Linked DNA regions of Alligator mississippiensis. The protein of the gene in region 1 purifies or fractionates together with the protein of each later gene. This does not show direct contact. Links are inferred from orthologs where the notes say so. Each region holds a gene or a part of one and is shown on either strand. Other genes may lie near its edges.

The links.
Region 2: the proteins of UTRN (region 1) and SNTB2 purify together in Homo sapiens (affinity purification with mass spectrometry; 4 studies listed by BioGRID and IntAct, with this or other methods). This does not show direct contact. The link is inferred for Alligator mississippiensis from reciprocal best matches to the Homo sapiens genes UTRN and SNTB2.
Region 3: the proteins of UTRN (region 1) and SNTB1 purify together in Homo sapiens (affinity purification with mass spectrometry; 3 studies listed by BioGRID and IntAct, with this or other methods). This does not show direct contact. The link is inferred for Alligator mississippiensis from reciprocal best matches to the Homo sapiens genes UTRN and SNTB1.

What each region holds. Positions count from the first base shown.
Region 1 is NC_081824.1:124,457,872-124,461,616, forward strand, and holds the start of UTRN (utrophin), read left to right. Parts: upstream 1-1,337; 5' UTR 1,338-1,352; coding exon 1,353-1,446; intron 1,447-3,745.
Region 2 is NC_081833.1:76,224,604-76,228,348, forward strand, and holds the start of SNTB2 (beta-2-syntrophin), read left to right. Parts: upstream 1-1,128; 5' UTR 1,129-1,729; coding exon 1,730-2,585; intron 2,586-3,745. Other genes in the region: UTP4 (U3 small nucleolar RNA-associated protein 4 homolog), read left to right, coding at 1-100, 555-665, 866-982. UniProt on the Homo sapiens protein: Adapter protein that binds to and probably organizes the subcellular localization of a variety of membrane proteins. May link various receptors to the actin cytoskeleton and the dystrophin glycoprotein complex.
Region 3 is NC_081826.1:22,277,898-22,281,642, forward strand, and holds the start of SNTB1 (beta-1-syntrophin), read left to right. Parts: upstream 1-1,544; 5' UTR 1,545-1,625; coding exon 1,626-2,151; intron 2,152-3,745. UniProt on the Homo sapiens protein: Adapter protein that binds to and probably organizes the subcellular localization of a variety of membrane proteins. May link various receptors to the actin cytoskeleton and the dystrophin glycoprotein complex.

The DNA.
Region 1 (3,745 bases):
ATAAACTCTTCTTTAATCTTTTTAATCCCAGTTACCTCAGTTACCTGTTGTTACTTACCATTTACCATCAGAAATATACAAAATATAGCTTGTGTTAAAGCACGTGTAACCATGACTTTCATAAGCATGTTTCAGAATTAAATTGAAGCACTTTTAATCTGCCATTTCTGAGATTCAGCATGCTCTTCTGTTGACCATTTGAAGGGTGGGAGCGGAGTTGCATGTTTTCTGTGTGTATGCGCTAAATGTAATTTTTAACTTATCGTTAATTTCAGGTATGTACAGTTGTTCCAAACCAGGGTCAGATAAGGAAATGGACCAGGGTTAGGCTGATCTAAATGCCCAATCATTCAAGTGCTCAGAGGTCTTAAATTGGGCAAAAAAGGCATGCCTGATTTAAATGTTGTTCACCTAAGTAGGTGTACAAGCATATATTGATATTCTGCTAACCTGATTTAGGAAACCTGAGCTTGTGAACATCTGCATGTGTTTATGGTGCAGCCCCAGGGCTGGGGAAGCCCCAGCCACTTTCCCCAGCCTGGGGCCATGCTAGTCCCCCTGCCCCACTAGCTGCCTATACCTAGATTGGGTGTGGTGACCTTAAGATTGCTTGGAGTTGATACTCTGGCATTTGTCTTGGTGTGTCTACTTCATGATGATCTTATCTTTGTAGCTTACATGAAAACAAACGTTGGGATTTTCATATCAGCAGTGGGGTTTCACCAGCGATCTGCTAAAATGAAAGGAAGATGTAGTGCTTAAATTCCTTGTACGTCTTTGAAATACCCAAACTAAAATATGTAACTGGTACCTGCCTTCAGAACAGTTTATTACAGATAGCTTTTCATAGAAAAAAAAAAATCAGAGAAGCAAAGTGCTTTATCAATGGTCATTGTTGTTTGTAGCTAACAGGAGTATGTATACAGCTTTTAAAGGACGTTGCTTGAAACTTCAGCAGGCTATTTGTTTAGAACAGCAGAGGGCAATCGCCACAGGTTCTTTCCTACCTTCAGCCCTGTAGAGTTTTTAACTTGCTATAGTTTTGAAAACAGGAAGGAAAAGAATTAACTTTTTGTTAAGAACACCCAGCAGTATATTGGTACCTTTATAAATAGGGACCTCTCTCTAATCATTTGAGCCCACATTGTTTGCATATATTCTTTAATACTGAAAAGTTTACTTGTTTCCTGAGTGGCTCACACTGTTGCAGTTTGTCAAGTTCTCCTCTTAAAAAAAACAAATTCTCCCCTCCCACCCTCCCTTTCAAATCCCAGCATGCAGTTCTCATGAGTGTACTTGCAGGCACTTCCTTTCCATCCTCATTTTCCTGTTTTTAAACATAAAGCTTGAACATGAGCATCCAGACATGTAAAAAACTTCAGTGGAAAAAGCATATGTTTTCTATGCCTGGGGATATTGACATCCAGGCTTGCTCTCTTCTACCAGGTGAGTAAGTATTTAAGACATAAGTGTATTTTCAAGACCAGAGGACAAAAAAAAGTAAATGAATGTTATTTCTGTCTACCTTTATCTGATGTAAGTTTTCTAAGTCTAATAGCAACATGTCATTGAAGACAGGCAGGAAACAGTCCAAGGAAAAGACGGTTTACAATCTGCTGTTTGTGGCACAACTCCGTTTTAAGTACTGTGTGAATTGTGGCTGGCTAAACACTCTCAGATCCGTTCACCTTCAGCTGTTTTTTAATCTAAATATTTCTTCTCAGCATACATTTGGTGAAAGTTCTCCTATTCTTTCACTGGTTGGCTTCCTTTGAAACCATGTAAAAATTAAACATGAGAGGAAGCTGGACAGTTTTGCTAATGTTTCTTTTTATCAGAAAGGAAACTACATCATTTTCAGTTGATGATCTTGTTGACTGCACTTTTATAGTGTTCTGCTCATTGTGATTGCTGAGCATATTGAATTAACATACATCCTTAACTTCACCACCATTTACATTCCAGTAAAGATGAATGAAATCTGATGTAATGAAAAATAAAGTAGGTGGACTTTTGGTAGAGAAGAAACTGGGACCACTCTTTCTTTTTTTGTTGAGACTTTTTAGGGATTGCTAGTTCCAGTGGTATGGGGCCAAAGCCAAAAAAAACGTGACTAGCAGAGCAGTGTCAGTGTGAAGACATCCACATAGGTGAATCTCAGTGTTCTAGATGACATTATGCCTCTGACAGGGCATGGTATTTCAGACCTTAAGGGCCTCATGCCAGTCAGCTTGGAGACTGATTATTTGATAATATAAAGTGACTCCATTGACTCCAAACTAGCTAAGCAACAGAGAGTTTAGCCCATCTGTTTTATTTCATTTCAGTTTTGACCTGAATTTTGGATACTAGAACAAGAGAGGAATTTCAGATTTTAAGTGAAGTGATATAATATGATCTATTTACAGTCTCATAAATATGTACATAGATCTGGAGCAATGGAGCTGATCTGGTGTTTAAGCAGAATAAATGAGATCTGCATCTAGCCCTTATTCTTTTAAGGGCCTAATCCAGCCTAAACTTCCATTTTAGCTGATGTAAATTTCTGGGCATGCTCAGTGGATTTAGTTATAACTTTACAAGTGCCTTGAGATCCTTTTGAGGGTGCCATAAATTGCCACAGAATGTTAGCACTGTTAAGTTTACAAACATGATTCACAAAAACCCAGAGATTTCCTATATAAATCCATAGTCGTGGTCTTTCTGAGTTTTTTACAGAGAAAAAAAGCTCTGTTTTTTTTCTGTAGTTAAAAATGAGTGAAAACTAGTTGGCATTTTCTGAAGGGTGCCTCAAATATGTCCAGGGATGCCTCCGGTCTCAGAAGATTGAGAACTGCTGCACTAGGGAGCTGTGTGTTCACCCTGGCTGAGAATCATTGCTCTAGTTATACACGGATGAGTTTCTAAGCGTGCTCAGTCCAAACTGTGAATAGGGATGGAGTACAAATGTAAACCCTCCTAGTTAAATTTTTGCTAATTGCTTCTCTAAGTGCTAGATGTGTGTTAATATGCAGAATTTTGTGTTGGTTTAAAAGCTTCTCGTAGAGAGAATTAGCTTTCTTCCCATAAGGTTAAAGTTCATTACTGCGCTGTCAAATTCATTACTGCATTGTCCAAAATATCTGTAATGCTCATTTGGAGTGTGTGAAGGACATATACATTGACTGGGAACATCTATGTGTGCATTAATGCACTTTTCCTAATATGCATTAAATTTAGTGCCTCCAATAAGAGGTACTAAATAAATGCGCATTTAGGTTGCACTAATGTGCAGTAGTGTAAGCACATGCTTTTTAGGTGATGCTTAATGTGCAATAGCTTATTCTATTGCTCATTAGCATATTAGCACTTTTTTTATGCACCACTTTAATGCACAGTAGAATAGGCTGCTGCACGTTAAGGCACACACAGACATGCCACAGATACTTTAAAATGACCCCAGGGAAAGGAATTAAAATTGATAGAGAAAGATTAGGATAGATTGGATTTGGGAATGGGGAAGGGGGAGGAAGAGAACACTGGAAACTAAATAGAAAAGCTAAATGCAAATAGTTTCTCAAACTCCATTTCGTTCAGTTTTGAAGAGAACAAGCAAGCTGAAATATTGTAAGGATGAAAAAAAGAGAAGTCAATATGAGGGTAAAATACCCTTCTGAGTATAGGTGGAAAACAAAAGAATAAAATAAAATAAAATATTTTATTTTGTTCTTTTATTCTTTTGGGGAATAAAATACAGAAGGTGGGA
Region 2 (3,745 bases), on another chromosome or scaffold:
GCGGGACACGCCTATTGCCCACATAGCCTTCAACCCCCGGCAGCCCACGCAGCTGCTCCTACACGACACGTACATGCTCTGCATCCTGGACAAGTCCCTGGTGAGTCTGCGCCCTGCCACCTGCCTGGACAAGGTGGGGGGGCAGGTGGTTCTCCGGGGCTGGCCCCTGCAGCCTCTCTGACCAGGAGTCCTGTGGCCACGTCCTTGGTTGTGGCTGGGACAAGGGTGCTTTGCGGGAGTCATTGTCTGTGGGAATGGCTTGGGTGTTGTGCTCTGGTCATAAGCCTGCAGGATTCAGTGTGGCGCTGGACACAGAACAGGCCTCTGCCTACCTGAGCACCACAAGGCTCATCCCCTTGCGTGGGGCAGGACTGCAACTCCTGGGGAACAGCCTCCCTCCAGCCCACCCTGCCACCTCCTCAGAGAGCTTGGTTCTCCGGGTGCTTGGCTATGCTCCTACGGAGCAGAGACCCCCTTAAAAGCCCTGGGGGGTGCCTGAGGGTGGGCACAGCGTCCCCCACATCAGGAAACCTCAACCCATGCCGTCTCCCCAGCCCCTGCCCGATGACAACACCCAGCTGAACAACCAGGCCTTGCTCAAGCAGCTCTCAGAGAAGGCCCGCCGGGGCCACGCTCACGCCTTCAAGATCTGCAAGAAGTACCAGGTCTGTGCCCTGGGGCTGCATGGGGTGCGGGGCACTGGCTTGACCTCTCCAGGGGTGCTGCCCTGTTCAGCCGCAGCAGTGCAGCTGCTTGCGGCGGGGCCATGCACGCCACTTCCCCATCAGTGGAGCCGTGAGCTGGGTCTTGTGGGCTCCTGTGCTCCCAGAGCCACTCTGACCCCGTGCTTCTTGCTGCCCTGCAGCCCCTGTTGTTCATGGACCTGCTGGACGAGGACTGCCTGGTGGTGGTGGAGCGGCCCCTGACGGACATCCAGACCCAGCTGCCCCCACCCGTCCAGCAGAAGAAGTTCGGCACGTAGGGCGGAGCGGGTCACGGACACTATGCTGCCATGCTCCGGTGCTGCTGCAATAAACCCCCGTGGTTCCCCAGGGCTGTGCTCTTCCTCCGCAGCTCCCTGCTTTCCTCGTGGCACGGCGCAGCCAGGTGGGGCTGGGGGCTGCAGTCACCCGGTGTGTCCTGGGTGTGTTGCTCCCTGTGCGGGGAGCAGTGACCACGCTGCTGGGAGCACAGTTGCTTGGGAGAACGACGACAGCAGGCGCAGGGGCCCCAGGAGGGCCCAGCGTCCTTCCTGAGAGTCAGGGCCAGGCATGGCTGGCGCAGAGCACTGCCCCTGCCCTACGGGTAATGCAGTGTAGCAAAAGTCCAGCAGCCCTTCCCCAGGGATGCCCTGGGCTCAGGGCTGCTCTTCTCCCTCCTTCTCTCTGGGCCTGCTGCCAGGCACCGAACCTGGCTGTGCTCCCCTGCTCACGGCCTCCCCAGGCTGCAGCAGGGACAATCCTGCTGTAACCAGGCTGCCGGAGCTGGAAACCGAAGCTGCTGGGGGGAGGCAGGGACTGGCTGCCTCCTCTCCCAGCTGCCAGCCTGCTGCGTGCTCCTAGCAGGTGTTGGAGGCACGGGACGCTGCCATGCTCGACACCCCAGGGCGGTGCTGACTCAGGGCCACTGGCTGGTCTTCTGCCTGTGCTTACCCCGGCAGGGCCTGCCCAGCGGGTCAGAGTGGCTCTGGGTGAAGCTGGTGCAGGATACTGGGACGTGGGGGTGGACCATGGGCCCCTCCCTTAGCTGCAGCCTGGCTCAGTCTTTCCATCTGCAAAAGGGGGAGAGTGACACCCCTTTGCAGTGTGGAAACAACCCCTTCTCCCTCCACCTTGTGCCTCGATTTCCCCCCTGCACTTCCCGGAGCCTCCCCTGGGGGGCGCCGCAGCCCTCCTCCCCGCTGGCCTCATTCATATTTATCAGTACGGGGCCTGAGCAAGACCCGCCCCCCTTGGGGAGGATGTGGCTGTCCCACCTCCCGCCCCTGGGGGGCGGGGCTGGCCGCCTCGCCGCGCGCCTCCGCCAATGGGAGACGAGCCTCCTCATTAGCCTTGCAAAGTGTGCGGGGGGCGCGGCGGGAGGGCGGCGTGCGCGGGCAGTCGCGCGGGGCGGGCGGCGGCGGCGGGTCCGGGCCGGCGGGGGCCCCGCCATGGCCGTGTGGACCCGCGCCTCCAAGGCGGGGCTGCTGGAGCTGCTGCTGCGGGAGCGCTGGGTGCGGGTGGTGGCCGAGCTGAGCGGCGAGGCGCTCACCCTCACGTCGGAGCCGGCCGAGCCGCCCGGGGAGCCCGCGCTGCCCAATGGTGCTGGGCCGGGCGAGTCGCCGGGCAGCCCCGGGTCGGGCGTGCGGCGCGTGCGGGTGCTGAAGGCCGAGGCGGGCGGGCTGGGCATCAGCATCAAGGGCGGGCGCGAGAACCGCATGCCCGTGCTCATCTCCCGCATCTTCCCCGGGCTGGCGGCTGAGCGCTGCGGGGCGCTGCGCCTGGGCGACGCCATCCTGGCCGTCAACGGCCTCGACCTGCGCGACGCCACCCACGACCAGGCCGTGCAGGCGCTCAAGCGGGCCGGCCGCGACGTGCTGCTCGAAGGTACCTGCCCCCGGCCCGGCTTCCCTCCTACCTGCCCCCGGCCCAGCCTCCCTGCACAGCTGGGCCACCCCGTCCCCCTCCCCTGCTCCTGCAGGCACCGCAGGGAGCAACGACCGGGCAGGGCGGTGGCTGGTGGTTGTAGGGCTGGTCCCTGCCCCATTGCTCTGTCTCTAGGCGAGTGCTGGGTGCTGCACGCGAGGAGGTGTTCAGGCGGTGGGAACAAGCCTCGCCCAGCAGAAATATCTTTGGTTTTCCAAAGGGCCGGGGCTCGTGGCACTCCCAGGGTCGGCGCTGGCTCGTGCGTGGGTGGCAGAGCAGGGGGAGGATGGCTAGGAGGTGTTGTTGGCCTTGGCGCGTTGTGAACTCAAACCCTCTCGCTTGGGCCCTGATGGCAAGCTTTTGCACGGCTGCTCCAGGGCAGGAGAGGGGTCGAAACCCCTCGGCATCAGCCGGGGCGAGACGGCCCCGCTCGGCTGGAGAAGCGCGGAGCTGCGGCGAGAAGCAATGTCAATCCGCGGGTGCTGCCGTCTGCGCCGGCCTGGCTGAGGCCATATCGGGCAGGACGCAGCTCGCACACTGCTGCTGCGCGCCCGGAAAGAATGCGGTCCTCGCTGGAGCCCGGGATTGCGTGCGCGTGCGGGGCCTGCTTCTGCGGCTCTTGCTTTGTTGCCGTAATTCGGTGGCTCGAGGAGCTGATGGCATAGGTTATTGGTCCCTGACGGCCTCACGTCGGCACTTGCGAGAAGGGGGAAGCCCAGCAGCTTCTCTCTGCACGGAGCAGAAAGCAGAAGCTTAAGCATGTCCGGTGTGTTGGGGAAATCGGGAGAAACCCGGGTTCCTGGAGAGGCTGTGCTGTGACTCGGCGTGCTGGGCTGTGGTGGCAGATCCACGGTGCCCGCGCTCCTCGGCTGTGGTTTCCTGCAGGGGTTGGCTCCTGTGATTCTTTTGCTGATGGAGAGCTGAGGGAAGGGAGCTGGAGCAAACGCCCTCCCCACGGTATTGCACCCAGCCTGCACCAGGTGAAGCCCGCTGGCCTGTGCTGCCCGTTCCTGCGGCCGTGATGGCCCCCTCCCGCGGGGCTGCGGCTAGTGCTGGGCTGCGGTGCTCTTGCCGCAGGGGTGCCGGCTGCAGTCCCGTGGGAGGCCGGGTCAGCCAGGTGG
Region 3 (3,745 bases), on another chromosome or scaffold:
AGATGTTGTTTTTATTTATTTTATTACCACGGTCTTTAGGAGTACTAGCCACGTACCAGAATCCCATGTTGTTAGACAACATACAAATACAGAATTTGTTCAGGAGAGTTCATCATGTAAACCAACTGTAACACAAGAGATCACATATAACAGGTGAGCACATGTAAAGGATGAGTATTGATCAGCACGCTAGGCAATATAGTACATCACCAGCTTGCCTGTTTGAGTTTTCTGTAGGCATCGCAGCAAAGGAGAGTCGCAAGAAGAATCTGAAGGGGGGTGGTAATGAGGTGGCTTTGTGGATACTTACCACATGAGAAGCACTTGGATGAAGCATAAAGATGTTTGTTGAAAAATCCAGCAAGTAGGCAATGGAGGGTGACATTATAAAGCACTTAACAACTTAGGTCATGCGTGATCCACGGGTTGTTTCTTTCTCCCAGTGAAGCTGCTTCAATTGAGATTCAGCTAAAGGAGCCAGCAGTTCTCTGGTTCATCATACCAGGTGGGATAGTGGGTATTTTCAGTGAAGGAATTAACCCTGTTTTGCTTTCTGGTAAGAGCCTGACTTTAACAATCTTCTATTCTCTAAGTTCGTCTTTTCTCTGTTTTTTTTTCCGATGGTTTGTACCAGGATGACAGACATTGTGATTCTTGCTCGGGTCTTGCAAGCAGCTGTGCACAGAGCTGCCCATGCTGGGAGCACAGCTGTGTGCACATGGAGCAGCTTGTGGGATCACGCTTTGGTGGGGGGCGTTGAACCGGATTTGTTTTGGCTGTTTTTCCTAGCAGGTTGTATCACAGTAATATCCCCAGCAAATTTCCCCAGGAGAAAATGTGTGAGAGCGTGTACGTCTGTGTGTATGTGTGCGTGTTTTAAACTCAGTCACTCTGTCCCAGAAAGACAGCATCCCAGTCGCTGTAACTGCTTTCAACTTCACTCTTCCAAATAGCACCGTAATGACGGGTGGATCCAGGATTTTGAGAAAAAGGGTGCAGATGGTGTCGTACACGTTTCTCCAGTGAAAAAGAAATGAGAAGCTTCACTAATCAGCTAGGGGCCTGGAGCTATAGTTACTCAATTTAAAATGGAAGGAAAAAAAACCCAAACACTTTATTGGAGTGCCCATGAAAACTTGCGATGTCCTCTATTACCTAGAAGTCCCAACTCGACCAAGAATCACCCCAAGACACCGTGTCATTAGTCCTGTCGTCATAAAACCAAGCCTCCCCTTCTGGCCCCGGTGCCGGCGACCCGCGCGGCCCCTCACAGCGCGGACGGCCGCGTCCCCCGGAGCTGCCCCGCGCCGCAGCGCCTCTTTCTAGCTGCCGTTCACACCGGGTCGCGAGTCGCTCCGGCGAGGGCGCCCTTCCCACCTGTGGGACCGGGCCGAGGACGAGGAGCCCTGCCACCCTGTTTGCAACTTCGGCACCGGAGCCCCTGGGGGGAGGGCGGGAAGAGGAGGAGGAGGAGGGGCCGCCGCGCCCCGCCCCGCCCCGCCCCGTCCGCGGAGCGAAGTCCCGCGCTGCGCCGCGCCGCGCCGTGCAGTGCCGAGCCGCGCCGCGCCGAGCCGTGCCGGGTGCCGGTGTGTGCAATCACATGGTATTTTAAGAATGCTCCAAAGATGGCGGTAGCGGCGGGCGCGGGCGCGGGCGCGGGCGCGGGCGGCGGCCGGGCGCAGCGCAGCGGCTGGCTGGAAGTTTTGGTGCGGGAGCGCTGGCACCGGGTGCTGGTGCACCTGGGCGAGGATGCGCTGGTGCTCAGCTGCGACGAGCGCCCCGACGGCGCGGCCCACAACGGCCTGGGCGGCAACGGGGCGTCCCCGGGCGGCAGCCCCACGGCGGCGGGGGTGCGCACCGCCTTCACCGACCCGCCCGAGCAGGTGCCCGAGAGCCTGTCCAACCAGAAGCGGCGGGTGAAGGTGCTGAAGCAGGAGCTGGGCGGGCTGGGCATCAGCATCAAGGGCGGCAAGGAGAACAAGATGCCCATCCTCATCAGCAAGATCTTCAAGGGGCTGGCGGCCGACCAGACCCAGGCGCTGTACGTGGGCGATGCCATCCTGGCTGTCAATGGCACGGACCTGCGGGACGCCACGCACGACGAGGCGGTGCAGGCGCTCAAGCGGGCGGGCAAGGAGGTGCTGCTGGAAGGTAAAGGGTTAATGCGCCGAGGAGGGTTCCCCCCCACCCCCCCCAGCCCTGGTGCACGTGTGTTGGGTTAAGTGGAGTGACTCCGGTTTGGGGCTGGCTGGTCCCTGCTGGAAGGTAAAGGGTTAATGTGCTTGGGGGTCCCCCCCTAGCCCCAGGATGCATGAGTGCTGTGTGCGGCACGGAAGGGCTTAAATGGAGTGACTCCGGTTTGAGGCTGGCTGGTCTCTGCTGCCTGTGCCCTGGAGGTGCCAGGGGCAAGTGGGGTGGGGGCTGAGGGTCTCTGAGCTCTGCCCCCTCGGCCAGGGCCGGACGCAGGCACCCGCTCGGGGTCTGGACAGAAAGGGGGCCTGAAAATGGTATTTTTTAATTATGATTATCATTCTCTCTGGCAAAGGGGGGCAATACTAAAAGTTCGTCCGGGGCCACCAGAAGTGTAGGTGCCACCCCAGCCCGCTGAGCCTTGTGCCATGTCTCTGCAGTGACCCACGTGTGGATTGAAAGCGGCACCAGCGCCTTTTCATCCAGGCAAGCGCTAGGTTTGACTGGGCAGGGAGGAGTTAACAGCACCTGGGATCTCGGAGGCTGACAGCCCGGCCACTTTCACTCAGCCAGGAGAGAGAAACGAGCAGATCAGGTCGTGCAGGGCTGTGCCAACCCGCCTGGCCTGGAACGACTGAAATGTGCCCCCCACGCGCACAATGCCCCAGTTTATGCAAAGGGAGAGAATAAACTTGAGGGGACCTGGCCAGGGTCTCCCTGAAACATTCATTTCAAAACACGCAAAGCAGAGACTTTCCTTTCCCAAGCGCGAGACAGCCTTTTAGAAACCGCCCTCGAGACGGAGTCCAACATGCACAGTGCTCTAAAGCTTTGGCACACACCTCCGAGGACACCCAGCTGAAAGCAAGCGCTCCAAGGGTACGAAACAGGGGACAATGAGCTCAGGATCAGAAACAAAAATCTTCAGGCTTAGAAAAAGAAGAGTTTAACCCCCCCCCCCCCTTTTTGCTGGAGGGTTAATGTATTTACTAGATTTGAGAGAAGGAACAGCTGAAAAGAAGGGGAAAAAAACTCGGTGTACATTAGAGAGAAAATGCCCTTGGTGCCCATGTTTGATTAAAGTACCTGCTTGTTTGCACGTAAGTTCATTTATCGAAGGGTCATTGGCATTTGTGGAGCGGTGTGACACGCCTGCTTCTGGATTTTTTTTTTCTTTATCTCCTGTTTTGCTTTGAAATAGATTTGCTCAGTCATTTTTCAAGTGGTCCTTCTGATATTTCTAAACCACAGCAGCTTCTGATGTGCCGCTTTTGAATTACTAAGGAACTTTGGGACCCTCTTGCGGAGCCATGGGGAATTGGACCGCAGCCTCAGGGGTGCATTTGAGGTCGCATGCAAATTACTGAATGTGGGGTATGAAAAGGAAATGCCGTAAAAGCTTCTCTGGGGAGTTGGGGAGGAAAAGTAAACTCTAGCGGGGTCTTTGGCAGTAAAAAATGAGCAACCCATTGATCTGCTCTGCATCTTCTGCAGTGGAAAGTAACTGTACATCCTGTGGATCAGGAGGAATTAGCCAGCACTAAGTCCAGAGGAT